7 linked regions of the Macaca fascicularis genome follow. The protein of the gene in region 6 binds, or shares a complex with, the protein of the main gene of each other region. Links are inferred from orthologs where the notes say so. Each region holds a gene or a part of one and is shown on either strand. Other genes may lie near its edges. The genes, in order: LSM3, TXNL4A, SNW1, CRNKL1, STRAP, SNRPD1 and SNRPD2.

What was found.
Region 1: SNRPD1 (region 6) and LSM3 share a complex: the UniProt entries of both Homo sapiens proteins name them as parts of the U4/U6-U5 tri-snRNP complex. The link is inferred for Macaca fascicularis from reciprocal best matches to the Homo sapiens genes SNRPD1 and LSM3.
Region 2: SNRPD1 (region 6) and TXNL4A share a complex: the UniProt entries of both Homo sapiens proteins name them as parts of the U4/U6-U5 tri-snRNP complex. The link is inferred for Macaca fascicularis from reciprocal best matches to the Homo sapiens genes SNRPD1 and TXNL4A.
Region 3: SNRPD1 (region 6) and SNW1 share a complex: the UniProt entries of both Homo sapiens proteins name them as parts of the minor spliceosome. The link is inferred for Macaca fascicularis from reciprocal best matches to the Homo sapiens genes SNRPD1 and SNW1.
Region 4: SNRPD1 (region 6) and CRNKL1 share a complex: the UniProt entries of both Homo sapiens proteins name them as parts of the minor spliceosome. The link is inferred for Macaca fascicularis from reciprocal best matches to the Homo sapiens genes SNRPD1 and CRNKL1.
Region 5: SNRPD1 (region 6) and STRAP share a complex: the UniProt entries of both Homo sapiens proteins name them as parts of the SMN-Sm complex. The link is inferred for Macaca fascicularis from reciprocal best matches to the Homo sapiens genes SNRPD1 and STRAP.
Region 7: SNRPD1 (region 6) and SNRPD2 share a complex: the UniProt entries of both Homo sapiens proteins name them as parts of the SMN-Sm complex. The link is inferred for Macaca fascicularis from reciprocal best matches to the Homo sapiens genes SNRPD1 and SNRPD2.

The regions. Positions count from the first base shown.
Region 1 is NC_088376.1:152,442,898-152,447,095, reverse strand, and holds the start of LSM3 (U6 snRNA-associated Sm-like protein LSm3), read right to left. Parts: upstream 2,801-4,198; 5' UTR 2,760-2,800; coding exon 2,739-2,759; intron 173-2,738; coding exon 62-172; intron 1-61. Other genes in the region: XPC (DNA repair protein complementing XP-C cells), read left to right, coding at 3,049-3,148. UniProt on the Homo sapiens protein: Plays a role in pre-mRNA splicing as component of the U4/U6-U5 tri-snRNP complex that is involved in spliceosome assembly, and as component of the precatalytic spliceosome (spliceosome B complex).
Region 2 is NC_088392.1:1,026,814-1,029,784, reverse strand, and holds the end of TXNL4A (thioredoxin-like protein 4A), read right to left. Parts: intron 954-2,971; coding exon 782-953; 3' UTR 501-781; downstream 1-500. UniProt on the Homo sapiens protein: Plays a role in pre-mRNA splicing as component of the U5 snRNP and U4/U6-U5 tri-snRNP complexes that are involved in spliceosome assembly, and as component of the precatalytic spliceosome (spliceosome B complex).
Region 3 is NC_088381.1:145,676,371-145,679,489, forward strand, and holds part of SNW1 (SNW domain-containing protein 1), read right to left. Parts: coding exon 3,074-3,119; intron 774-3,073; coding exon 656-773; intron 1-655. UniProt on the Homo sapiens protein: Involved in pre-mRNA splicing as component of the spliceosome. As a component of the minor spliceosome, involved in the splicing of U12-type introns in pre-mRNAs.
Region 4 is NC_088384.1:67,267,686-67,271,185, reverse strand, and holds the end of CRNKL1 (crooked neck-like protein 1), read right to left. Parts: intron 2,831-3,500; coding exon 2,729-2,830; intron 1,939-2,728; coding exon 1,690-1,938; intron 723-1,689; coding exon 555-722; 3' UTR 500-554; downstream 1-499. UniProt on the Homo sapiens protein: Involved in pre-mRNA splicing process. As a component of the minor spliceosome, involved in the splicing of U12-type introns in pre-mRNAs.
Region 5 is NC_088385.1:18,696,899-18,701,034, reverse strand, and holds the start of STRAP (serine-threonine kinase receptor-associated protein), read right to left. Parts: upstream 2,801-4,136; 5' UTR 2,481-2,800; coding exon 2,369-2,480; intron 1,649-2,368; coding exon 1,513-1,648; intron 1-1,512. UniProt on the Homo sapiens protein: The SMN complex catalyzes the assembly of small nuclear ribonucleoproteins (snRNPs), the building blocks of the spliceosome, and thereby plays an important role in the splicing of cellular pre-mRNAs.
Region 6 is NC_088392.1:68,147,116-68,151,362, forward strand, and holds the start of SNRPD1 (small nuclear ribonucleoprotein Sm D1), read right to left. Parts: upstream 2,801-4,247; 5' UTR 2,685-2,800; coding exon 2,671-2,684; intron 1-2,670. UniProt on the Homo sapiens protein: Plays a role in pre-mRNA splicing as a core component of the spliceosomal U1, U2, U4 and U5 small nuclear ribonucleoproteins (snRNPs), the building blocks of the spliceosome.
Region 7 is NC_088393.1:53,756,366-53,760,366, forward strand, and holds the start of SNRPD2 (small nuclear ribonucleoprotein Sm D2), read right to left. Parts: upstream 2,801-4,001; 5' UTR 2,748-2,800; coding exon 2,746-2,747; exon of another isoform or gene 2,014-2,745; intron 1-2,013. Other genes in the region: QPCTL (glutaminyl-peptide cyclotransferase-like protein), read left to right, coding at 3,562-3,768. UniProt on the Homo sapiens protein: Plays a role in pre-mRNA splicing as a core component of the spliceosomal U1, U2, U4 and U5 small nuclear ribonucleoproteins (snRNPs), the building blocks of the spliceosome.

The sequences.
Region 1 (4,198 bases), on a different chromosome or scaffold from region 6:
TTTCAAGGGAGTGGGGGTGGGAAGGAATCTGATTTCAAGGTAACTTGATAAATTTACTCACATGTAATCTGCCTCGAAGCTCTCGGTCATTTCTCATCTTCACATAAATTCGCTCATCTAGGCTGAGCCTGATAAGATCCAGGGGCTCCTCTACAGTGTTGGTAGTTTGTTGCTGATAACAGAAACAGGTTTAGTAATATAGTACTAGAGATAAAGTAGTGCTTAAATCACTGCTATGCTGTATGACCATGTGCAAGTTATTTAACCTTTTTCTGCCTCAGTCTCCTAATCTGTAAAATGGAGATAATAGTGTCTACCTAATACTGTTTTTATGAGGCTTAAGTGACATATATGAAGGCTTAGAACAGAACTTTTCACATAGTATGTGCTATATAAATGTAGATTAAAACACGCATACATAAGAAGGAGTTACACAGCAAAATAATCATGACTATACTTTGTTCCCTCAAAATCCAAACTGCCTGACCCGATTTCAGGGTATAGGGTCTTAGGAACTTTAGCTTTATCTCAAATATTATGTAATCATAGGAAAAACACTCACTTAATGCCTACCATATACTAGTCAGAATGCCAAGTAGAGGTGTAGGTTTATGGGAAGATTATGAATTCAGCACAGGTTGAGGTTAGGCTGCCAACTGGCCAGTAAGATGAATATTTAGTAGCCAGAATAGAACACTGGTTCAAAGCACTGGCTTAGCCGGGCATGGTGGCATGCGCCTGTAGTCCCAGCTACTCCGAGGCTGAGGTGGGAGGATTGCCTGAGCCTGGGAGGTGGAGGTTGCAGTGAGCCAAGATGGTGCCAACAAGCAAGCAAGCACTGACTTTGGAGTCAGGCAGTCTGGGTTCAACTCCTGGCTGTGACCTGACACTTATGAACTGAGATTAAAAATCATGCCATCTGTAATTCTCAGATTCTTCATTTGTAATTGAGAAAGCCACAACCTTCCTTCTGGATTCTTATGAGGATGAAACTAGTTAATGCATTTAAAACAGTGCCAGGAAAGCAGAAAATATTAATACTTAGAAACGGTTCCTTTTGGCTGGGCGTGGTGGCTCAGGCCTGAATTCCAGCACTTTGGGAGGCTGAGAAAGGCAGATCACCTGAGGTTAGGAGTTTGAGACCAGCCTGGCCAACATGGTGAACCCCGTCTCTACTAAAAATACAAAAATTAGCCAGGCGTGCTGGCACGTGCCTGTAGTCCCAGCTACTTGGGAGGCTGAGACAGGAGAATCGCTTGAACCAGGAGGCAGAGGTTGCAGTGAACTGAGATCACGCCACTGCACTCCAGCCTGGGCGATAGAGTGAGACTCCATCCAAAAAAAAAAAAGAAAAGAAAAGATTCCTACTAATATTATATTATTAAAGAACTGCTGGAAACACTGGTTTTAGAGGTCAGGGCTAGGATGACTTGGGGTCACCCACATGGAAGGGAGGGTTGCAGCCATTAAAGAGTTAGATGATTCAAGGAGAGCTTCTTTAGTAAGCACACAAGGCCAGTGGAGGAAGGTAACTGAATTCGTAACAGGCGCTAAAGATTCAAAAGGCCCGATGAGAGAAAAAAAAATAACCTAACTCAACTGGTCCCTATGTCCCTCAGTTCAACAGGTGTTTGTTAAAGGATCTGATAACCAACTGTTAGATTACAATGATACAGAAGTCACAATCTCCACCCTCAAGGAGCTCATTCTAATGTGGATAGGCATATGAATAATTATAATACTGTAAGAATATGCACATGACAGAGCTCTACTGCTACCTAAGCCTCTGTCTGGGATGCCCACTTTCTGTTCTTTTTCATCCTGTAGCTTTATACATTGGCTTTTAAAAGAGGCCTCCTCTGATCATCTAACTCATTCACTCAAATATTTGTTGAGTATTTCCAGCACTGTTCTAAACCCCAAGGACAAAAGAATGAACAAAACAAAATGCCTACTGTTATGGCACTTACATTCTAGTCAGGAGAGATACACATTAAACAAAGATGCATACATTTAATATGAAAAAATAACGTTCTATGAAGAAAAATGAGGCAGGGTAAGCAGAGTAGGGGGAGTGCTATTTGGGCAGAAGTCCTCTCTGAGGAGGTGAGATTTCAGTAGAAAGTTTAAGTTGTAGCATGATCTCCAAAGATATTTGAGGAAGAAAAAGACCAGGTGAAAAAGCTTCTAGGACCATCTGTTATTCTGCATACCAGTTCCTTGTTTCCTTCATAGCACATCACAGTTCCTATAAATCTTACATATTTATATTTATCTGTTCTCCTCGCGAATATAAGCTCCAAGTCATGGCAAGGATCACTTATATATCGATGTCAGTGTCCCTGGCTCTTAGAACAGTGTCTAACCATACAAAGCTGATGTTCACTCTCTCTGCTGAATGAGTAAATAATTGTTGTGCTCAGTAATAACAACTCCTAACTTTATTATCTGGCTTTCTATTGGAATCCTGACAGCTCCGTGAGGTAGGCACGCATAATAATTTACAGATTTAAAAAAACAAAGCGAAGAGTGTGATGAATAGTCATCAGGTGGCCTTCTAACGGAAAAGACCTCAGGGCCTGCAGCAAAATTCGGACAGGGGTGTTTACGGAAAGGATGGGGCGGATTAGGCCGTGTGACTTGGAAAGAAGAGGCGCGACTGGCCATTTTTCCTGCGTTTGGAAAAAGCAGTTTAGTACAAGAAGCGGCGCCGAGCCACCGCCTTAAAATTCACTCACCTGGTCTACGTCGTCCGCCATGTTTCAAACCCTGCGCCCTTTCCCGCCTCTCGCGAGAACACAAGAGCAACGCCGAGCTCCGGAAACGTGATGCTACAATACACCGGAAATAGAAACCTGCTGTGCTCTTGCCTGCTTCCCGCGGTTTTTTAGTGGCCACGGGTATGGGGCGGAGCTTCCTTTGGGGGCGTGACTAGGCCTCCAACGAAGGGGCGCGGCCAGACGCGCCCGCCTCGGGGCGGGGCCTGCGTTCTAACGCATCGCGGCCTGGTGCGTCACTCGCGAAGTGGATTTTTCCCCGACAAGCAATATGGCTCGGAAGCGCGCGGCCGGCGGGGAGCCGCGGGGACGCGAAACGCGCAGCCAGAAGTCCAAGGCCAAGAGCAAGACCCGGCGTGAGGAGGAGGAGGGTGAGAGCGTGGCCCAGCGGGCTTCGCGGGAGACTCTGCCGGTGGGCGGAGGAGGCCCAGAGGCAGGGGCGGCGGGAGTCCAGACGCGGAGGCCGGGTGGAGGTTGCTGCGCGCGTTCCGCGCAGTGGGGGCAGCACGGCAGGCCGCGGCCGGCCCTCCCCGCTGTCCCTGCGCCTTTGTCCTCTGCACCCAGAGCGGCTTCCCGTGAGCCTCGCCCGACCCAAGCTCCTGCGTAGCTTCTTTCCCGCTCCCCGTTGTCCAGAGGATACAGCGCAGATGTTCAGGGTTGAACGCGGAGAAGGCAGTTATTTGTGTCCCAGGAAAACGGACGGACGGACCAGGACGTAGAGTGATGCAGTGTGCTGACTCCCGAATGATAACTTCAGCTGAGTCTCGCCCAGAGTTCCACAGTGGGATCCCACCTGACTTCCCCTCGTGGATATTGGATAGGCTTCTTACATTTGTCGTGGACAGTGCAGAGCTCATGGTCTTCCCCTTCAAATCTATGGTTTCCTCCGTTTTTCCAGTCCCAATACTTGTTATAAAACAAAGTCCACCTTTTTCTTATGTGCACACATCCAGTCCCGTCAGCAAGTCCAGTCAGTTCAGCCTCAGACTGTATTTCAAATTTGTCCACTTCTCTTCATTTCCATGGCCACAACCCCTGTCCAAGTCACCATCACCTTTCAGTTGAGTGACTGCAGTTTCCTCTTGACTGGCCTCCCAGCTCTGCATCCAGCAACGCAAATAATCTTTAAAAAAAAAAAAAAAATCATGCCATGCTCCTGCTTTAAACTCTCCTTGGTTTTCCATTGCTCTTAGTTTAAAACCCAGTTGTCTTATCCTGGCCTGCAAGATGCTACGTGTTTTGGCTCTTGCTACCTCTCCTGTTTCTCCTACCACTTGTTTCCTTGCCAGATACCCTCCTCATTGGCCTCCTTTCTCTTCCTCAAATATGCCAAGTTATTTCTTGAGCCTTTTCCTTTGATATTCCTTCGGCCTAGAGTGACCCCCCACCATGGCTTTTGCCAGGGCTGATTTCTTCAAATC
Region 2 (2,971 bases), about 67 Mb from region 6:
GCCACGCTGGAGCAGGGTGGGCCCCAATCCAACACAGATGGTGTCATTACAAAAAGGGGAAATTTTGGACCAGCACCCACACAGGGAGGACACAGAAGAAGTATCCACACACCAAGGAACTGACAAGACCACCAGCAGCCCCCAGAAGCCAGGGAGAGGCCTGGGCAGACTCCCCTCACGGCCTCAGTAGTAACCCACCCTGCAACGCCCGATCTCAGACCCAGCCCTGCAAAGCTGCAACGCCCGATCTCAGACCCAGCCCTGCAAAGCTGCAACGCCCGATCTCAGACCCAGCCCTGCAAAGCTGCGACGCCCGATCTCGGACCCAGCCCTGCAAAGCTGCGACGCCCGATCTCGGACCCAGCCCTGCAAAGCTGCGACGCCCGATCTCGGACCCAGCCCTGCAAAGCTGTGAGAGCTTCTCTGTTAAGGCCCAGCTCGCGGCAGGCTGTCACCGCAGCCCTAGCAAACTAATCAAGTACGCAAAATGCACAACCTCACAGGATAAACACCTTCGTTTTACTCCAAGGATAAGAATTAACTTTGACTAGGAAATATCAGTCATGTATTCATCAAGTTTCCTGAGAACAAACAAGTAGGCCTGCTCCTCTCACCACGTGCTTGTTTATTTTGGTGAGTTAAGACCATGTAATCAATTCCATCTCAGAGGTCCTCCAGCCCTCGAGCTTCCTGTATTTTCCAAAGGCTTTAAATAGCTTAAAACATTTCCGCACAAAAACGGCTCCAGGACGTTTATCTTATCCGCGCAGACTGAGGTGCCTCAGTAGCGGTACTTGGTGGAGTAGTCCTTGGGGGACACCACCAGGCCGCGGCCTTTGCGGGCCCCGCGGTACACAGTCTCTATGATGTCCACCATCTCCTGCTTGTCCTCCATGGCCCAGTTAATCTTGTTGTTGTTGCCAGTCCCCAAGTCAATCATGATATGCTTGTTCCTGCAAAGAGAAACAAGGGCATCCATTCTCATAAAATCCCTTTAAAAAAGAATTCCTTGAAAACAATGCTGTATTTTTCCCACTGTTACAAGTTCTTGTTAACATCACTGAAGAACGCATAAAATCAAAAGTGTCTGCCATGATGCAGGAGAACACAGGAAGCACCTAAACGTGCTTTTTAAAAATGCAATGCATCGTCCACCACGCTTTTCCCTGCATTTTTCTGTATTTATTTAGGATAAATATTCTAAGGGGAAATTAAAAGGTCAAAGGAGGGCAGGCGCAGTGGCTCAAGCCTGTAATCCCAACACTTTGGGAGGCTGAGGCAGGAAGATCACTTGAGGCCCAGAGTCTGAGACCAACATGGATAACAAAACGAGACCCCCAACTAATTTGTACTAATTTACCTGATAAAAACAATGTGTTTTTCATGGTGCTCTTCTGAGCACTGACATAAATTGTATTAAAAGCCCTTCAACTATGAAATGAAGATGACATTTTGCATGTTTATGGTGAGGGAAGCAGATGATTCTTGACTTATCTTTCAAGAGATTAGTTCTTTTTCTTATGAATACTTATGTGCACTTTACAAGATAATGATATTAGCCCTTTGTTGTACTGGCATAAATTTATCCTGGTTTGTTGAAGTTTCTTTCTGAGATGGGGTCTCACTGTCGTCCAGGCTAGGGCACGGCAGCAAAATCAACCTACCGGCCCAAATGATCCTTCCACCTCAGTCCTCTACATAACAGGGACAACAGGCATGAGCCCCCACACCCAGCTAATTTCTAGTTTTTTGTAGAGATGGGGTATCCCTATGTTGCCCAAGCTGGTCTCAAATTCACGGCCTCAAGTGATCCTCCCACCTTGGCCTCCCAAAGTGCTGGGATTACAGGTGTGAGCCACTGCGCCCGACCTGATTATTTTTCTTAGAGATGAGGTCTATGTTGCTAAGGCCGGACTTGAACCCCGGCCTGCAGAGTGGCTGGGTGGCAGGCATGCCCCACCTGAAGACTGTTTTTTAACGTTCACTTCCACAAGATCATGCATTTGGCTTCCACCTACTATTCCACAGAAAGCGTTCCCAGTGAAGTCTGTGGTTCAGGAAAGGCAAATCTGATCAGGGTCTGGAGCCCACCTCTGGCCGCCCTCTCATTCTCCATGCTGCAGGCCGGCGCTCCATGCAGCACGCACCAAGATCCTTCTACACCGACTGGGGCTGCCCGTAGTACCCTCCCTGTAGCCCTATCTGACTTGGGGGTACTTCTTCAGTATTTACATCTCATAAACACCTGCCTCCTTTCACTTCTTCAGTATTCCCTGCTAATTTACTCAGCTGTTTCTTCTATCAGACAAAGTCCTGTGAGAGTGGGAATCCTGCCTTATCTGATATTAGGCCCCACCACTAGACCACAGACCTGGTGGGGGCTCAAGACACATGTTTAGTGCATAAGGTAACTAAAGTACCATTTGTCTTAATATTCTGAATCACAGAAACAACAGCAGAAGGAAGTTTCATCTTCTTTTCTGAGTATAGCATCAGTCCTACGAATATCAAACTACACTAAGTAGGCTACAGCCTCCATCCAAGGCTGTTCCCTGCAGCCTCCTTGCCCCTCACAGCATCTCCAGCCCCAGGCTGGCCTCCGCTGCATGCTGTGGGGGACAGAGACCTAAGACGGCCCTCCCTGTTCTCACCTGAAGAATTAGAAAAGGCCTCTATTGCCTCAAACAGGCTGTTAACAGGAATATGGACTTTAGGAATGCCTGGTGCGGGCTCGGAAGGAAGTGAGGAGTGCGTTACTGGGAAACGGAGCAAAGGGGACCCCGTTACAGAGTGGCCGAGGAACAGGGACACAGGGTCCGCAGTTATGGGAGATCAGTGCTCAAAAGCAACACACTTGGGATATTTAGCTGCGGAAACTTCCAAGCAAAGTGTCGGAGGTGCTGCCTTCAAGAGAGGAAACAGGCAAATTCGTGTAAGAACTGTTAACAAAAGGAATAAATTCTTGAGCCTC
Region 3 (3,119 bases), on a different chromosome or scaffold from region 6:
CACAATCTTGGCTCACCACAAGCTGAAGCAATTCTCGTGCCTCAGCCTCCCAAGTAGTGAGGATTACAGGCATGCACCACCACACCTGGCTAATTTTCGTATTTTTAGTAGAGCTGGGGTTTCACCACATTGGCCAGGCTGGTCTCAAACTCCTGACCTCAGGTGATCTGCCTGCTTCGGCCTCCAAATGTGTTGGGATTATAGGCAAAAGCCACCGTGCCTGTCCTCCCTGGTTCTATTTTAAAAACAAAAGATTGACATACCACAGCACCAAGTTGTTTTTTTTTTTTTTTTTTTTTTTTGAGACAGAGAGTCTCGCTCTGTCGCCCAGGCTGGAGTGCAGTGGCTCAATCTCGGCTCACTGCAAGCTCCGCCCCCCGGGTTCACGCCATTCTCCTGCCTCAGCCTCCCGAGTACAGCACCAAGTTTTTAATCAGCTAATTTCTTTCTTCTCCTAGTGTCTCAAATTTCAGTCCACTGTAAGAAGTTAAAATCAGAACTGTTTCATCTTTCTTGTCTCAAGTTTCAACATACAACTTCCAATTTTTTTGTCATCATGCTGGCATTTACATCCAAATATGAAGTATGGTAATTTTCGTTTCCCTGAGGATAGGTATTCACATCAACACAACAATATGCTTTCCTAAACTTGTACCTTGGATTGGTTGAAGAGCCTTTGGTCATACTGAACTTCATTGGAAGTCCGAGGATTAGGAACACCGAGAGCAATGACTTCACTGATATCCCGATTTTCATTTCTCTGAAGTTTCGACCTATTTTGAAATACGACATCACTAACTGAAAACTCTTTATAGACAAACTGAGTATGTTCAATAGAAATACAACCAATCTCAGAAGCAAAGGACATGAATATGTCACATTCACATCTTGAGAACGTATATTCCTTGATAATACATAATCAAGTTGGCAGCCCTTATAAAGCATTTCAGATTAGAGGGAAGAGTTTTACAATTAGGACATCCTGTTAGCTCAAAAGAACATCTAACAGATTCGTTGACATGGAATTCTTTAATATAAGCAATCACCTTACAACCATACTGAGATATAAAATTGCTATGGTCTATATTTACTATCATATGATGGTTTGGGGGTTGGGGAAGTGGATACAATTTAGATGTAGCACAGGAATCATTTTAAATAAGCTAGAAACAGCTCTTTTATCTAACTACATTTAATAATTTTATCCCACTAGAATTTTGAGGAAAACATGTCAATGACTGAAATAGTTAGTATGATTTTTGACATTCAAATTAATTTGGTTTCCTGGCTGTTTCATTATACATGCAATCTATATCCCAATGAAACCATGGTAACTGTCATTACTTATTTTACTAAAAACTCAGGTCACAAAATGATTTCTACAGGCTATTTGATTTTCATCCAGTTACAATTTTACAGCTTTTCTATGTTGTCAATTCTGATGGCCACTTTACTGGTTTTGAGGGCCCAATTTATCCACAGAGCCATTGTAACTTTTACAACTTAGGAATTACTAACCAAGACTGTCATTAATTAAACACTTTCACACTTTGCTCCTCCTTCTACATGTACGTTACCCTCAACTCAAGAGTAAGAGTCTCTGCTTCTCTATGACGTCATTTATCCAGGGAGATGAAATATGCCAATTAACACCAGCAGGAATCTTTTTAATGCCTATTTATTTTTATTTTTGAGATACAGTCTCGCTCTCACCCAGGCTGGAGTATAGTGGCACGATCTTGGCTCACTGAATCCTCTGCCTCCAGGGTTCAAATGATTCTCCCACTTCAGCCTCTCGAGTAGCTGGGACTACAGGCACATGCCACCACACCCAGCTAATTTTTGTATTTTTAGTAGAGATGGGGGTTTCACCATGTTGGCCAGGCTGGATGAACTCCTGACCTCAAGTGATTCGCCCGCCTTGGCTTGCCAAAGTGCTGGGATTATAGGTGTGAGCCACCGTGCCCAGCCTCTTTTTTGTGTTTAAAATATGACTTGAAAAATGTATTAGGCTCATGGGATGATCAGAGCATAGAAAACTGTTCCTTTGGGAAGAAAATATTTTATATTTGCATTTAACCCTCACTCAGAATTCTACCTTTGTATTGCAGCATTTCCTCTACTTTTCAGAACTTTAAGTCCTCAGCCTTTGGTGAGCCATAAACTTCCCCAATCCATACTTTATGCCCTTGTATATGTATTTAGTTTGTTCCATACATTTATATTTACTAAAAGTGCTTTGCAAATTTTCTCAAATTATTTTATGGATAGCTCTGTCTTTCTGAACTGTAAGTTAAACTTCTGTTAAGAATGAGCTGATTTTCACTTCTTTCAAAACTGCTCTTCTCAATTGCACTAGATGCATATAAAGTACTATGCATATAAAATGATCTCAGTAAAAGCATGACAGCTTATTTCCTGTCTAAAGAGGCACATAATCCATTTGTCTCACCATTTAAGGTAGGAAAAGAACCGACTATAACAGTCCAAATTTACTACTACATCCTTTTCAAAAATCTGATCTCAATTCTGTTTTCCATATTCCCATCATTCTCAATTCTGACTTAAGTGATGGAAGAAAAGATTAATTCCAAAGACAGTCAACTAGAGCTAAGACAAAGTTAAGTATAAGAAAATTAAGTGCTAATGTATTAAGTTATCAAACTGAAGAAGAAAGGGAGAGAAGCAAAACTGATCTTAGTGGACTAAAAACTCTGCTCTAAAAGGTACAAAAAGGCCACTCTTCATGATTGGTACCTATCTTTTTTTGTGTGAGACGGAGTCTCACTCTGCCCAGGCTGGAGTGCAGTGGCGCCATCTCAGCTCACTGCAAGCTCCGCCTCCCAGGTTCACACCATTCTTCTGCCTCAGTCTCCCGAGCAGCTGGGACTAGACGCCCACCATGACCACGCCCGGCTAATTTTTTGTACTTTTAGTAGACATGGGGTTTCACCATGTTAGCCAGGATGGTCTCGATCTCCTGCCCACATCGGCCTCCCAAAGTGCTGGGATTACAGGGGTGAGCCACCGCGCCCAGCCTCCATGATTGGTACGTATCTTAAATAACACCTACCTCTTATCAGGAGCTGCCCTGGAAAGATTCCGGTCATGCTGTCTCT
Region 4 (3,500 bases), on a different chromosome or scaffold from region 6:
AACTATTTTTAAAAGTGGCTTAGAACAAACACTTTACTGAGCACTTACTATGCACCCACCAGGTATATTCCTTTTATAATGTAATCTTCAAAATGAGTTGTCAAAGTATTGGCCCATTTTGTGAATGAGCAAAATGAAAATTAAGTTATATAATCACGAGTGGCAGAGCTGGGAAATGAACTCAAGTCTGTGACTCTGAAGACATGAAAAAGTTACACATTTCAGATGAATGCATAAACTATCTTTATGGTTATGACATGAAAAGTTACTGTAGAATGTTACCTTAATTACATTTTCTAATGCATGATGTGGACAGACGCTAGAAAAGTTTGGACTCAGTTGGAAAAAGAAATCCAGCAGTTAAAAAAGTCCTTTACTTGCAATCCCCACCCCTAGCTAACCCAAGAGCATTTAAAAAATAACTTAAAAAGTAGCTATCAAAGATACCAATCAGTTTCTTACTGGTGAAATATGTAAGAACTTCCAGGAGTCACAAGAGTTCCAAACAATTAATTTATAAAAATAACAAAACATTTGTCAATATGAAAAAAAGATCAGGATTCACTCTCATCGACGTCCTCATCTGGATGGTGCTCAGCATCCTCCTTTTCCTGCTGCTGTTTCTTCCACAGTTTGGCCATGGCCAGGAGTTTGAGGTTAGGCTGGTTGGCAGCATCTTCTGGAAAGATGTAATCAAAGTATTCTTCCCAGCCTGCATCAGACTACAGAAATAAAACAATGAAAAGATAAGCAAACATGGGTGATACACTCACATATCAGAATGAAGGTTTTTTACTGGAAATCCGAAGGATTACCTCCATTTTACAAAACAACATCAAAGTCTACTACAGAAAGAACAAGGGCTGGGTCTGAAAGACTGGGAGTGAGTAAGCAGCAACTGTAGCTCAGTGAGAACTAAAATGGTAGAAAAAAATTCTAAAAATCTAAGCATAGCTCTTCTACAGCCAACCAAGATGTTCAGTGTCTCCAACTACATTGTGCAGTCTTAGGTTTAAGAAAATGTTTAACGATTTTTACATAATATTCATCCAGTAGCAAAAGTCATACATCTGTGCATTATTATTCCAACTCCCTACCCTCCCATCCTCACCTCTTATCAGTCACTGATTTCACCTTCCAAATACTGTTCTAACAGGCCCTGTGGCCCTGTTCTAGTTCCAGCTTCCATGTCTTGCTAGCTTATAAAAACTGCTTCCTGATGGGTCTTCTTTCTCCAGTCTAAGCCCCTTGAGTCTACCAGTATGAGATGCCAGATGCCAGCAATCTGGTCACGTCATTTTATGCAAAACAGCCTTCACTGACTCCCACCAAACTCCTTCTTATCGCCTACAAGCCTTCTCTGGATAGGCTGCTATCTGAAAGTTCGCTTCAGTCTTCCTCCACGCTGACTTCCTATTTAATGCTCTAAAAATATCACACTTCATGAAGTTCCCAGACTCAACCGTCATCAAAACACCTTTGCCAACCCCTTCTCATTCTCCACCTCTGACTGGACCATATGCTCTACCCCGTGTTTCCATAACAGCCAGATTGCAACCATCTCCTACTCCAGGTGGTCTGCTTCCATTCTAAGATTGTACATATGCCACTAAAAAGTCTACATTTCAAAGTCAGATGTGTTTCTACTCATGTGACGTGAGATGAACAGTCCCAGGGCAGAGATCTTACCCCATCGTCCGTCTGGACCTTTCTTCTCTTCTTGACTTTCTCTGGCATGAGTTTGTCTACTCTCTCCTTATCTGAAGCTGTTCCAAATTCCTCTTCAAAACTTCGCCAAGATTCCAGCAGCATAAGTCTCTCTTCCTTTTCTTCACAGTTTCGCATGGTTTTGTTAGCTTCTTCATAAATTTGTCTGCATTTAGCCAAACTTCCTTCTTTTCCTGAAGACAATTCAAACTGAGCAAAGCTGATCCATACCTTTAAAAAAAGTTATTATTGAACCAAATTAACCATGTCACTCAGAAGACACTAATGTAGTAATAATAAAGCGAATTCCCAGTTAATGACATCAGAAAGATGTGTTCATTACTAGTGTTTCACAGATTAAAACAATGAATATATGCTTCAATACAAACACTGAAAATATGTCATTCTACATTCTACAGTTAAATGTCTGACATAGTTTTAAACTCTTGAAAAGAGTTTAACTTGGCTGGGCGCAGTGGCTCACGCCTGTAATTCCAGCACTTTGGGAGGCTGAGGCGGGCAGATCACAAGGTCAAGAGATTGAGACCATCCTGGCCAACAGGTGACCCCATCTCTACTAAAAATAGAAAAATTAGCTTGGGCGTGATGGCGCACACCTCTACTCCCAGCTACTCAGGAGGCTGAGGCAGGAGAATTGCTTGAACCCGCGAGGAGGAGGTTGCAGTAAGCCAAGATTGCGCCACTGCCTTCCAGCCTAGCGACAGAGTGAGACTGTCTCAAAAAAAAAAAAAAAAAAAAAAAAAAAAGTTTAACTTTTTTTCAATCTTGTGATACCCAAGCTATTCACATGCAACATAAACAATGACCTGGTATAAACTTAACATTCGAAAGTCCTCTGAGACTCATGTTTCTCTTAAGAAGCAAGGAAGTCATTTAAAACAAAACAAAACAAAACAAAAAACAAAAAAACCCCACACACTTAAAATACAGAAATAGAGTATTTTCTTCCGGACTGCTGATTCAAGCAAAATGAAAGATCATCTACAAAGCAAACGGATACCTTGACATGCTGCGTCCTTTGAAGCAACCGTCGGTAAAGGTTTCGTGTTCTTTCTGTTTCTTCCTGCTCAATTTCAAAATCAATATATGATTTCCAAAGCACCTAAGAAAGACAAGTAAATTGGTCAGTCTTGACATTTGCAAAGCAGCATGCCCCCAGCCAAAGCACAGCTTAAGTATCACTCTAACCTACATCTAGGAACATAAGAGTTTTACAGAACAACTAAAGAACACATGTGGATAAGACAAATAACATTGGTATCTATAAGCTGGCCAAAACTTGGCTAGAATTTCAGATTACAGAAAAAGGGCCTTGGATTCAGTCTTAGAGGTTCTCTTTGGAAGTTTTTCAAATGGTTGACTTATCAAGAGCTGAGAAACTTGCCAAGCATCTCCCAGGTACTCTTTCATATTCCAGCTACATGCAGTTGAGCTTCCAGAGAGAAAATAGGCCCAGGTTAGCCAGTATGTATGTTCTTACCTCTACTGTACACTCCTTGTTATTATCAGAGTTCAATGCAACAAGCATTCACTGAACAGGTGAGCACTGGCTCGGTGCAGCCTGGCAGGGCATAAGGATGAATAAACCGTGGCCTGGACACCTGAGACCTGGCAGTCTGGTGGAGGAGCTGAGGACAACTGACAAACTCAGTGATACCCAAAGCTCTGCCTTAACGCAGTCAGGGGGCCAAACCATTAAATGCAGGGTCATGTCAGTGCATGAGATTAACAAAACAACTGGGTGAGTTCTACGGCTCCTGTGAGATTCAAAT
Region 5 (4,136 bases), on a different chromosome or scaffold from region 6:
ACTTGTACTCTCTAGCCTCTTAAATCTAATAAATTTGTGTATGCACAATAGCTCTTGATATTGCCTTCATCAGTTTAAACAATGAAGTGTCAAATTCCTAAGTTACAAATACCAAGTAGGAACTGGAGAAAACAAGATTTTTAATACATGATATATTCCCAAAAAGGCAACGAGGGCCACTGTAGGTCAGTTTAATAACATAATTAACAGCCAAAAGTCAGAACAGGTAAAGTATATTTCTGACAACAATAAGATTAGTATAATTAGATTGTAGGTTTATGGTGTGCAATGGGAGAGGATGATGTTGATGAACTAGGATGAAGCAAACTGTAAAGGGCCAACAATTGAAATGTGTCCTTTAGGTCAGCAATTCTACGACTGCATATCAGGAAAGAAAAGGAGGGAAGAAAAATAAAAAAAACGCCAATGATCAGTATGATCAGTACTCTATCCCTAAAGACCAATCAAACCAGAATTTCTGTACCAGGCACAATAGTTCATCCCCAAAACCCCAGCTCTTTGAGAGGCTGACGCATGGAGGCCAACAGTTTAAGACAGCCTGGGCAACATAGCTAGATACTGTCTATATACTAAAAAGTATTTTAAAAATTTTTCAATGTAGTAAAAAGTGTAAATATATATATGCATAGAGAGTAAAAAAGTAAAAAAAAAAAAGTTTTAAAAATCCAAATTTCTGGGACACATACCATTTGAATATTTGAAAAGTTCTCCAGATATTCTAATGTATGTCAAAGGTCATGAACTACTAAAATGGCAAAGGGAAGACAGCAAGATCATTAGGTAGAGAAGTGACATGATCAAATACATTTTTAGGAAGACAACTGGCAGCAATATGGAATATGAATAGGAGGAAAAGAAACTACTGAAAGTTAAAAATGATCCTCAACTAAGGCAGTGGCAGTTACTACATGGAGGAACATTGTAGTCAGGAGACATCCTGCTGGCACAATCAAAACAGATGATGATAATCTCGATGTAAGGGAAAATCAAGAATGCTTTAGATTTCAACCTTTAAAAACTTAGGAAATGAAGAGCAGTTGAGTTTTGCTTTGTTGTTGTTTTGTCTTTTTGTTTGTTTTTGACACAATGAGTTTTAGTGATGCCTACAGCCAGTTAACAAAAACTGGGATTGAAATAAAAACCTAGGGTCATCACTGTAGGTTATCACTAAGGAGTACACACAGAGCAGCATTCGTAAAGGAGATCAACATTCATTATCTGGAGCGTTTGTTAATGCAGATTCCTGAGTCTCAATCAAAATATAAGGAGTAAGTCATTTAGGCCTCTAAAAATTTTGAGAACCACTGAAGACAAAAGCAGCACACAGGACCACGATGGACCAGGATGGAATTTTGGTGAGATCAAACATCATGCGTTCTATATGGCAGCCAGCGAGTCAGAATTTTATGAATATCTGAGACTGAAGTTTTTGATTATTTCAGGACACAATCTACAGAGAACACCAAAGTTAGCCATCTTGGCTACACTTACGCTGTGAAATCTGCAGCTGCTGTAGCTGCTTTGGTGGCATCCTTATTCAGTGTTGCACCCCAAACAGCACCTTTATGACCCAAAAATGTTCCAATCCAGTCTCCTGTATCTCCCTGGCGTAGCATAGGTTTACCATCTAGAAAATATTTTTTAAAACATGTAATTTATAAGTTCGGATTAAAGTCTAAGATTCAAATGTAAATATACAATGATGTTCAATGACGAAGTGGAAAAATTGTTTCAGCTATTTAACTATCACCACCGATTGAAGTCACTACGGAATGTCCAGTAATAATTAACTGAAGAGCTGAACAGATCATTTTCCCTGAAAAGCATCTGTAATTTGCTGGGAATACTGATCTGCGTCGAAATAACTTAGATTTTAGTCTTATTTTGGACAAACATTGTAGCCTAAATCTGTTTCCCATTTGAAAAATGAGGCTAATACCACAAAGGAATACCCAGTGAGACAAGAGCGAACATCTTTGTAAGGTATCGCACGGCCTGGCCTAATTTCTCCTTTCCCCAAATCCTTGACAGCTATTTACAGTGTTGTCCCGAGAGTCTAGGCAAGTGCTGTCCAGCTCCTTCAAAAATAGCAATAAAAATAAAATAAGGAGAGAGGTCTTAGCTGGGGGTAATAGTTTCTACATAAGCGTCCGGAGGCCTCTCGGCTCCAGCTGCGGATTCCCTAACACACTCCTTTCTCCACTGGACCAGTGTTGGCCCTCATCTCAGATGTTAATATCGCCCCCTCCCCGCTCACCACACCACAGCTCAGCACTGGAGAGTGCGGGTCCCAATCCCTTTCGGCCCAGTCCCAGCCGTCGGGGACCAGGATTGAGGCCTTGCTCACCTTTGCAAGCGCTGATTAAGAAATACCCATAAGGCGTGATGCCACTGAAGGCCAAATCAACCACGGGACGCGTGTGGCCAGAGCAGGTGAGCGGCGTCTGTCTCATTGCCATGGCGGCGGCGAACCCAGCGACCGGACTGGCGAGCTGAGGGTCGTCGTTGTCTTTTCTCTCTTCTGCTGCAGCGCCTCGGGCTCCTCCAGGCCCCCGCCCTGACACTAGGGCTGGGCTGGGCAACAGGAAAAGAAGGGCAATCCGGTGGCACCGAGGTTAGGAAGGGGTGAGGGAGGGGTCAGGGAGTCTGCTACCAGCAAGCAACAGTCGACGAGGGAGGGAAAGGGAGGGAGGGAGGAAAGTAGGGGATGGGGAGAAGCAGAGAACCGGCCCAGCCACGATTCACACCGTCCACACCGGTATCGGCAGGAAGTGACGACGTAAATGACGCAGAGCACCCGCCGGAAATGACGATTGGCTGGCGGGAGGGCGGGCTCGCTGGGCATAAGTGACTTGAAGAAAGAGCGAGAAGTGCAGAAAGACGCAGGCGCCAGTTCAGTGCCCTGAGGTAACTAACGCTGGCCCATGCCGGCTAAAGGAGGCGCTGTAGGCACCGGGATGGGGTCCCTCGCCCCGAGCTCTAGCGGGTCAGAACGCCTTCCCGGTCCGCGGCCGAGTTGAAATCCCTTCCCACTCCCGTAAGCCCAGGGGCCAGCGGCAGCAGTGTACCCGCCGAGCAGCCCTACTGAGGACTGTGCTCGGCCTCTGAATATCTAGACGGACACGAGCCATTCCCAGTGACGGCTCAAACCTGCGAACACTGTCTAGTAACGTTTTTTTGCAATTTGTCTTACTTAAAAACCATATACGGGCTTGGCGTGGTGGTGCCTGTGGTCCCACCTATTTGGAAGGCTGAGGTGGGAGGATACTGGAGCCGGAGAAGTCGAGGCCAGCCACAGTAAGCGGTGGTCGCGCCACTGCACTCCAGCCTGGACGACAGAGCGAGACCCTGTCTTAAAACAAAAAAACAAAAACCAAAAAAAATTCCCCAGCCATCTCTTCTGCTGTGTGAGTTTTCCTATGTTGCTAATGTTTTAGGCGTGGATACTATATAGTTTTAAATGCGATTAAATTCAAATTACTTTTTCCTTGGTGGACTTTGGAGAACTCTAGAGTTGTAGATCCCCAATATTTTTGATTAAATACTCTCATCAATAAAGTGAGCCTGCACTCATTTTTTAAGCGAATGAATGCTGAATTCTATCAAAAACTTTTACACATCTTTTGATATGTATACATATGAGTGATAATTTGCAAATTACATACAAGGACAAATTAAAAGAATATTTAAATATAAACTGTGATATTGTCTGCAGCAGGCAGCCCAGTGTGGCTCTGTGAAACAACCAGAGCTGTTAATTGTTCATACTGTTTACTAACCAGGAGAGGCCTTTTCTCTGGGCAAGTTCTTTATTGCTAGAATGTAAGCCCTATACAACAGAGATTTTTGTGTTTACTACTTCATCCCCAAGATCAAAACGTCTTGGCACATACCAATAAATATGTAATCAACATAAATGTCTGTGAATGTTTTCTTCATCTTTTTGCAGCAAACACCGTCTACAAGATTTGCGTCAAACAACGTGAAAACTTGAAATATGTCTCTATTCTTTTTCCTTAGTACTCTCGTCCATTCACTTACAGTAAAGCACTTACTATATACGTTTTTCATTTTATTTTGTTTGACTCCTCCTTTGTGTCAGCCTCTCCCTTTTG
Region 6 (4,247 bases):
AGGCAAAATTCATGTATGGTGGAAGAAATTGGTTGCATCTAGGGGTATGGAGTCAGAGGTTGCCTGGGAAAGGCTTGAGGAAACTGAGGTTTTGGTAATGTTACTTCTCTTGATAGGGGTTTAGGTTACAAAAGTGCTTATGTTTTTCAATAGCAGGAAATATACGCTGCATTTCATTGTATTAAGATATTCACCTCAAAGAAGGAAAACAAAAATCCATGAGTGGGATAAAAAGGGCCTGAACCTCAATGGTGGTGACCGGAACGAAAGGAGGCTACTATGGGCAGGACAAATACACAATTATCCCTCCCTAACTGAACCCAGGAACCAAATGGATTCAACTTATTTTCAGACGAATCTTTCAGTATCTGAATTCTTTCTACTTAGTGAAACTTAGATATCAAATAGTCAGATAACACGGTGTCCCTCAGTATCAAAACACACTATCTGAACCCAAAAAACAAACAGGAAAATGTGGGACACTTTTATGCAGTAGGTAAAACTGGCAGTGTATCAAATGTCAAGGACATCAGGAGAGAAAAAGTCAAGCTCACCTCCCAGGTTTTTGGTTAGGGTGACAGTGAGAATAAGGATGACAACTACCAACTGATATACAGAAATTAGTCTACTGAAAACGCAAACCAGTTAGTCAAACAATCATTTTCTGGAGGAAAAATACATTCTCTGGTAAGAAAAAAATTTTCTTTCTATATTTGACCTAAGACACAAAACAGGATTCAGTCCAGCTATTAAAAATTACTGGAAAATTGCCATAACATGCAATATCTTTAAAGGGAACAAATGAAATCCAAGGTGTATTACATAAAATTGAACTATGAGTAGATTAAGATTCAGATTAGCAGGTATGGAGAAATTTCAAAAAATGTTGTAATTTTCTTTTTTGAGACAGAGTCTCGCTTTGTTGCCCAGGCTGGAGCACAGTGGTGTGACGTCGGCTCACTACAACCTCCCGGGATCAAGCGCCTCTCTTACCTCAGCCTCCTGAGTAGCTGGGATTACAGGCGCCCGGCTAATTTTTGTATTTTTCGAAAGACGGGGTTTCACCACGTTGGCCAGGCAGGTCCTGAACTCCTGACTTCAGGCGATCCGCCTGCCTCAGCTTCCCAAAGTGCTGGGATTACAGGCGTGAGCCACCGCGTCCAGCCTAAAAAATGCACTTTAAATTCTATGACTTCCTATCCAAAATTATAGTTCAAATAAAAATACAACAAAAATTAATCTTAATTGTCTTTTGTACCAACTCCTCCCTGAATTTTTTATTTTTTTATTTTTGCAACGGAGTCTCGCTCTGTTGCCCAGGCTGGAGCGTAGTGGCCAATCTCAGCTCACTGCAACCTCTGCCTCCTGGGTTCAAGCGATTCTCCTGCCTCAGCCTCCTCAGTAGCTGGGATTACAAGCGCGCGCCACCACGCCCGGGCAATTTTTGTAATTTTAGTAGAGACGGGGTTTCACCATGTTGGTCAGGCTGGTCTCGAACTCCTGACCTAGTGATCTGCCCGCCTTGACATCCCAAAGTGCTGGGATTATAGGCGTGAGCCACTGCGCCTGGCCTCCTCCCTGAATATTGAAGGCTTTTATGTGTTATTTAAAACGTTTCAAACAAACGTTATCTACTTGTCTGTCATCCCCCTAACTAGAAAGCTCCAACAAGGATCTGCCTTTTAAAAAATACTATTACCAGCGCCCAGTAGGTAACAGGTGCCCAATAACTATTTAGCGGATAATGACAATCCTTGACTCAACAGGAAAGAAACAAGCTAAATATTTATAATCGATGGCTTAGTTATTAGAAACGTCTGCCTCTGTTCCAGGCTCAGTCTCAAGGAAAAAGACCAAAACCAAATCTACTCGCAGGTAGTTTGGAATTAGTCTCCAGAAGACTCACCTAAGTGACAGGGTCTATTTCTCGCGAAAGAAATAAAACAGAATAACTATATATCATCTGGGTAATCAGCCACAATTACGTTGTGATAATTTCTGCCCTATATTGGGAGATTTTCCTAAATAAAAAGCTTACCTTAACAGGAAAGAGGTAGAATAATCAATCATAAGTCTAAGGAGAATCAAAAGATAAACTTAAAAATCGGCCGGGCGCAGTGGCTCACACCGGTAATCTCAGCCCTTTGGGAGGGCGAGGCAGGCAGAACGCTTTAGCCCAGGAGTTCGAGACCAGCCTGGTCAACAAAGTGAGACACCGTCTTATTTAAAAAAAAACAAAAACAAAAACTTGTGAAGCCAGAAGTCCTTCTCTGATTTAAAACAGTTTGCAAACAGGTTTGTTTCCAGATAAGCTCATACAGCTTTCTAAGTACTCTTAAGTAGGGCTGGAGCTCCACTCAAAAAGAAAATCAGTAACTGTAAGGGCGAGATGTCTCCCAGGCGGCGCTGCACCTTGAAAGTCTCTAAGTCACTAGGCGGGAAGAAAAGGCTCGGCCTTTATACCAGTATCTTGGAAGACACGCGGGATCCGCGAGCGACCCAGGCAGAAGCCCAGGCCCGAGCACGAGCTGCGGGCGCAGTAAGGCCGGCCGTTAGCAGGCCGCGCACACGCGGCTTTCCCGCCTCCTGCAAATGGGAGAGCCCAGCCTTCCGGACTCCGGGCCAAGCCCTCCCTCCACAGCCCCCAGAGCTGCTTGGTCACTCCCTCACCTCACGAGCTTCATCCTAGCGGCGCCGTCACCCTTCGGGTCCGAGAGCGCACAGAATCCAACAACCGAATACTGACCAACTGCAGTATGAATGGCCGGAAGCGCCTACTCCAGGGACTCCGGTCGTAAAGGGCGCGCGGAGCACAGCAGACGCACGGCGGAAACGCCGAGGCTGCGCTGGGCCGCACTCTCTTCCGGTCGCGAGGAGCGCGACTGCGGCCCCTGGCGGCTGGAGGTTGCCTTGCCACGACTGAGGGTGTTGAGGGCTGGTCTAAGAGGAAAAGTGTCCCACAAGAGAAGGAGATTCGAAGAGGTTAAATCCAATTAATAGGACTGTCGCACTTTGGGAGGCCGAAGCGGGGGTATCACCTGAGGTCAGGAGTTCAAGACCAGCCTGGCCAATAGGGTGAAACCCGCGTCTGTACTAAAAATACAAAAAATTAGCCGGATGTGGTGGCGGGCGCCTGTTATCCCAGCTACTCGGGAGGCTGAGGCAGGAGAATCGCTTGAACCCGGGAGGCGGAGGTTGCAGTAAGCCGAGATCGCACCACTACACTCCTGCCTGGGCAACAAGAGCGAAACTCCGTCGCGCGCGCGCGCGCGCGCGCGCACACACACACACACACACACACACACACACTAGTACTGTCACCATCACGTTTCTGAATAGCAGGGCACCGTGAGTGCAGCACCTAATATAAATTCCTCACTGAACGAAAATAAGTTCTTAGAGAAGCCCAAAGGATTATGCTAATTCTGTTCCAACGCCAGGAACCTTAGCATTACTTAATGTACCTGAAGCAATTCACACAATGAGCCGGGCGCTGTGGCTCACGCCTGTAATTCCAGCACTTTGGGAGTCCGAGGCGGGCAGATAGCGAGGTCGAGAAATCAAGACCGTGCTGGCCAACATGGTGAAACCCTGTCTCTACTAAAAATACAAAAATTAGCTGGGCGTGGTGGCACACGCCTGTAGTCCCAGTTACTCGGGAGGCTGAGGCAGGAGAATCGCTTGAACCCAGGAGGCGGAGGTTGCGGTGAGCCGAGATCGCGCCACTGCACTCCAGCCTGGCAACAGAGCGAGACTCCGTCTCAAAAAATAATAAAAATAAAAAAATAAAATCACACAATGTAGCGGATTATTTTCACTTTAAGTTCCGATCTATAAGACAAACTTTTCAATCTTCATCTTTCACAACATCTCCTCAAAATTTATTTTTATTGTTTTTCTGAGACAGAGTCTCCTTCTGTCGCCCAGGCTGGAGTGCAGTAGCACCATCTTGGCTCACTGCAACCCTTGCCTCCCCGGTTCAAGCGATTCTCGTGCCTCAGCCTCTCCAGTAACTGAGATTACAGGGGGGAATCACCACGCCCTGCTAATTATTGTCTTTTTAGTAGAGACAGGGTTTCCCCATGTTGGCCAGGATGACCTGAACTCCTGACCTCAAGTGATCTGCCTCTCTAGGCCTCCCAAAGTGCAAAGTGCTAGGATTACAGGTGTGAACTTCATCAAGATTTAACACAAACACTCCCCTTACCTCTTTCAGGTTTCAGGATGCCAAGCTCACCTGGCCTTTT
Region 7 (4,001 bases), on a different chromosome or scaffold from region 6:
TTCCTGACCTCGTGATCCACCCGCCTCGACCTCCCGAAGTGCTGAGATTACAGGTGTGAGCCACCGCGCTCAGCCAGACATTTTCAACTCTGCATGTCTCAGGTCGGGGTCCAGATCACCCAACCACCGAAGCCTACCCTATCCACAGTGTTCCCCATCTGCCTTCTAGTTCTCTGGGCAAAAACTCTTTGTCAACTTGATTCCTCTTTTTCCCTTGCATCCTACAATAAATCTGTAGGAAGTGGCCATTTCTTACCATGGCCTCAGCCTCTGTCATCTCTGACCTGGAATCTTTCCGGTCTCTCTGCCTCCACCCATGTTCCCTGACAGTCTGTTCTCCACAGAGTGGTCTGAGGGGGCTGTGCTAAAACCTAAATCATAACATGTCACTCTTCAAAGCCCTCCCAGGGGCTGGGTACGGTAGCTCATGCCTGTAATCCTAGCACTTTTGTGGTGCAGAGGTTGCGGTGAGCTGAGATCGCGCCACTGCACTCCACCCTGGCAACAGAGCAAGACTCCGTCTCAAAAAAAAAAAAAAAAAAAAAGAAAAGAAAAGAAAAGAAAATGTCTGTTAGGCATCCAGCTGGTGATGATTCACAAGGCGGGTGGATCACTTGACATCAGGAGTTCGAGACCAGCCTGGCCAACACGGTGAAAACCCATCTCTACTAAAAATACAAACAAAACAAAAACAACAACAAAAAATTAGCCAGGCGTGGTGGTGCACGCCTGTAATCTCAGCTACTTGGTAGGTTCTGGCAGAAGAATCGCTTGAGCTCAGGAGTCGGAGAGTGCAGTGAAGCGAGATCATGCCACTGCACTCCAGCCTGGGCGACAGAGCGAGACTCTGTCTCAAAAAATAAATAAATACAAATTAGAAAATACAAAAATTAGGCTGCGTGTGATGGCTCACGCCTGTAATCCCAGCACTTTGGGAGGCCAAGGGGGGTGGATCGCCTGAGCTCAGGAGTTCCAGACCACCCAGGGCAACATGGTGAAACCCTGTCTCTACTAAAAATACAAAAAAATTAACGAGGTGTGATGGCGCATGCCTCTAGTCCCAGCTACTTAGGAGGATGACGCAGGAGAATCGCTGGAGCCCCAGCAGCGAAGGTTGCAGTGAGCCAAGATTACACCACTGCACTCCAGCTTGGGTTACAGAGTAAGACTCCATCCCCCACCCCAAAAAAAAAAGTAGCTGGGCATGGTGGCGCATGCTTGTAATCCTAGCTACTTGGGAGGCTGAGGCAAGAAGATCACTTGAACCCAGGAGACAGAGATCGTGCTACTACACTCCAATCTGGGTGACAGAGCGAGATTCCATCTCAAACAAACAAAAGAAAATCCTCCCATGCCCCCCCGCCATCTCAGTGTAGAAAGTAAAACCCCGGCCAGGCATGGTGGCTCACGCCCGGCCAGGCACGGTGGCTCACGCCTGTAATGCCAGCACTTTGGAAGGTCGAGGCAGGTGGATCATTCGAGGTCAGGAGTTTGAGACCAGGTTGGCCAACATGGCGAAATCTGGTCTCTACTAAAAATATAAAAGTCAGCTGGGCATGGTGGTTGGTGCCTGTAATCCTAGCAACTCGGGAGGCTGAGGCAGGAGAATTGCTTCAACTCGGGAGGCAGAGGTTGCAGTGAGCTGAGATCGCACCATTGCACTCCAGCCTGAGCAACAGAGCAAGGCTATGTCTCGGGAAAAAAAAAAAAAAAAAAAGATTTTTTTTTTCCTTGGGAACAAAAGGTTTCATTCACTGATGTATCCTATGTGGCTTAAGCAGTGTCTGATACATAAACATTCAATGTAATATTTGGTGCACTAATAAATGAGCAAAATCATGCCAATCACTCGTTATCCCTTTAAGTTGTGAATTAGGTCGAAAACGCATCTGTCTCCAGCTCAAATGATCAGGAGAAGTCCCTTATTTCAAATCATTATTTCTAAAAGTCCTAACTTCCCTTCCCCAGTATTCGTTTTGATTTCTTTTGTTTCGTTTTGAGATGGAGTCTTACTCTTCGCTCAGGCTGGAAGTGTGCAGTGGTGCAATCTCGGCTCACTGCAACCTCCGTCTACCGGGTTCAAGCGATTCTCCGGCCTCAGCCTTCCAAGTAGCTGGAATTACAGGGGCCCGACACTACGTCTGGCTAATTTTTGTATTTTTGGTAGACACGGGGTTTCACCACAATGGCCAGGCTGGTCTCAAACTCCTGACCTCAGGTGATCTGCCCGCCTCGGCCTCCCAAAGTGCTGGGATTTACAAACCTGAGCCACCGCGCCCGGCCTCCCCCAGTATTCGTAAAATCGCTGCCCCTTAACATTCACTTCAATAGGACTAATTATCTAGGACCCCCCTCCGTTATCGTTTAAAATATGTTTTTCATAATTAAAAAAAATTTTTTTTGTAGAGACGGGGGTCTCGCTATGTTGCCTAGAGTAGTCTCGAAACTCCTGTGTTCTAGCGATGCTCCCGCCTTGGCCTACTAAAATGCTGGGATCACAGGCATGAGTCCCCGCGCCCAGCCCAGCGCGTTATCTGATAAAGCTGTCCCCTCTCCCGAAGTCACGATGCGTCAAAGGCCCCACGCCCGTTCTCAAACTCATCAGGAGAAACGCAGGACGCTCCATCCCTAAAACATCTGCCCCTGTCCCCCACCCCGCTCTCTGCTCAACCCTTCCCACCCTCAATCGGTCAAAATTTCCACCCTCAACCTCCTTCCCGCCGCCTAAGCCTAGCCCGGCCTCACATGATGGTCACTAAGCTCTCCGTTCACTCCCGTTTCCTCCGCGTTGCTGCAGCCTGAGGCGAGAGAGGCGGGACTTCCTCTTCCTGCGACCCACTTCCGTTGGCGCCTGCGCAAAGCCAACCAGTAAGTGGAGGCGTGGCCTGTTGCCATAGCATTGCCCACCAACGGTGCACAATGAAAGAATAAAAGCCTCGGATAGGGGTTCGAGGCCAGTCAGAACCACACGGGGCAGATGTTTATGACAATGAAGACAAAAGGAAAGGCGGTCTGATTCAAACCGTTTCGTTTAAGAATGGTACAGGTTTAAGGAGGGAAATGACAAACTATTTCCAAATGCCCGCCGGCCGTGACTTCGGGGGCGCGGCCTCCGCTGAAGCCAATCCGCTCCTCGCTTCGGAGACAGGCACCGCCCCTCTTCCCTCTGGGACGGGTTATTGACGTATCTACTGATCTTTCCGACCCTGCGCCACCAATCCCCTGCCTACATCCGGGAGGGGCATGGACCTGCGCCCGAGAGATTGAATATTTTCCACGATCAAACGCTGCTCATTGGCTTTCCCCCTCCGCTAAGGCGGAGCCTATCTCTTTTGCGCTCCCTTTTGGGTCGTGCCATTCTCAGAAGAACCAACCCCAATACCCAAGGGAGGCCGGGAGGCGTGTCCTCAGGACCGTAGCTCTTATTGGTTTCGCTGCTCGCTGTGGGGTGGGCAGGTGCAGCCGCTGCTGTTGCTTATTGGCCCACTGATTCCATGGGGTGGAACTTGGCTGGGCCTAAACTCAATCGTGGTCTGGTACAGGTTTCAGGGCATAGCTGCCATGCGTTCCGGGGGCCGCGGGCGGCCCCGCCTGCGGCTAGGGGAACGTGGCGTTATGGAGCCACTCTTGCCCCCGAAGCGCCGCCTGCTACCGCGGGTTCGGCTCTTGCCCCTGTTGCTGGCGCTGGCCGTGGGCTCGGCGTTCTACACCATTTGGAGCGGCTGGCACCGCAGGACTGAGGAGCTGCCGCTGGGCCGGGAGCTGCGGGTGAGGCTGGGCGGGGACCCGGGCACCGCGGGGACCCTCATTCCCTCCCCGCTGTTACCCAGGGTTGACTTGGCTTTAGCGTACGGCCCTAACCGCAGATGCCACAGTCTTCGTCATCTGAGCGCATGACCCTTACCAAAGGAATAAGGCTTCGGGCTGGTTTTACAACAGTAGCTTCCTTTTATGAGGAAAGGTCTGAAATAGTAAGACGAGGGGGTTCAGGGTTCTACGCC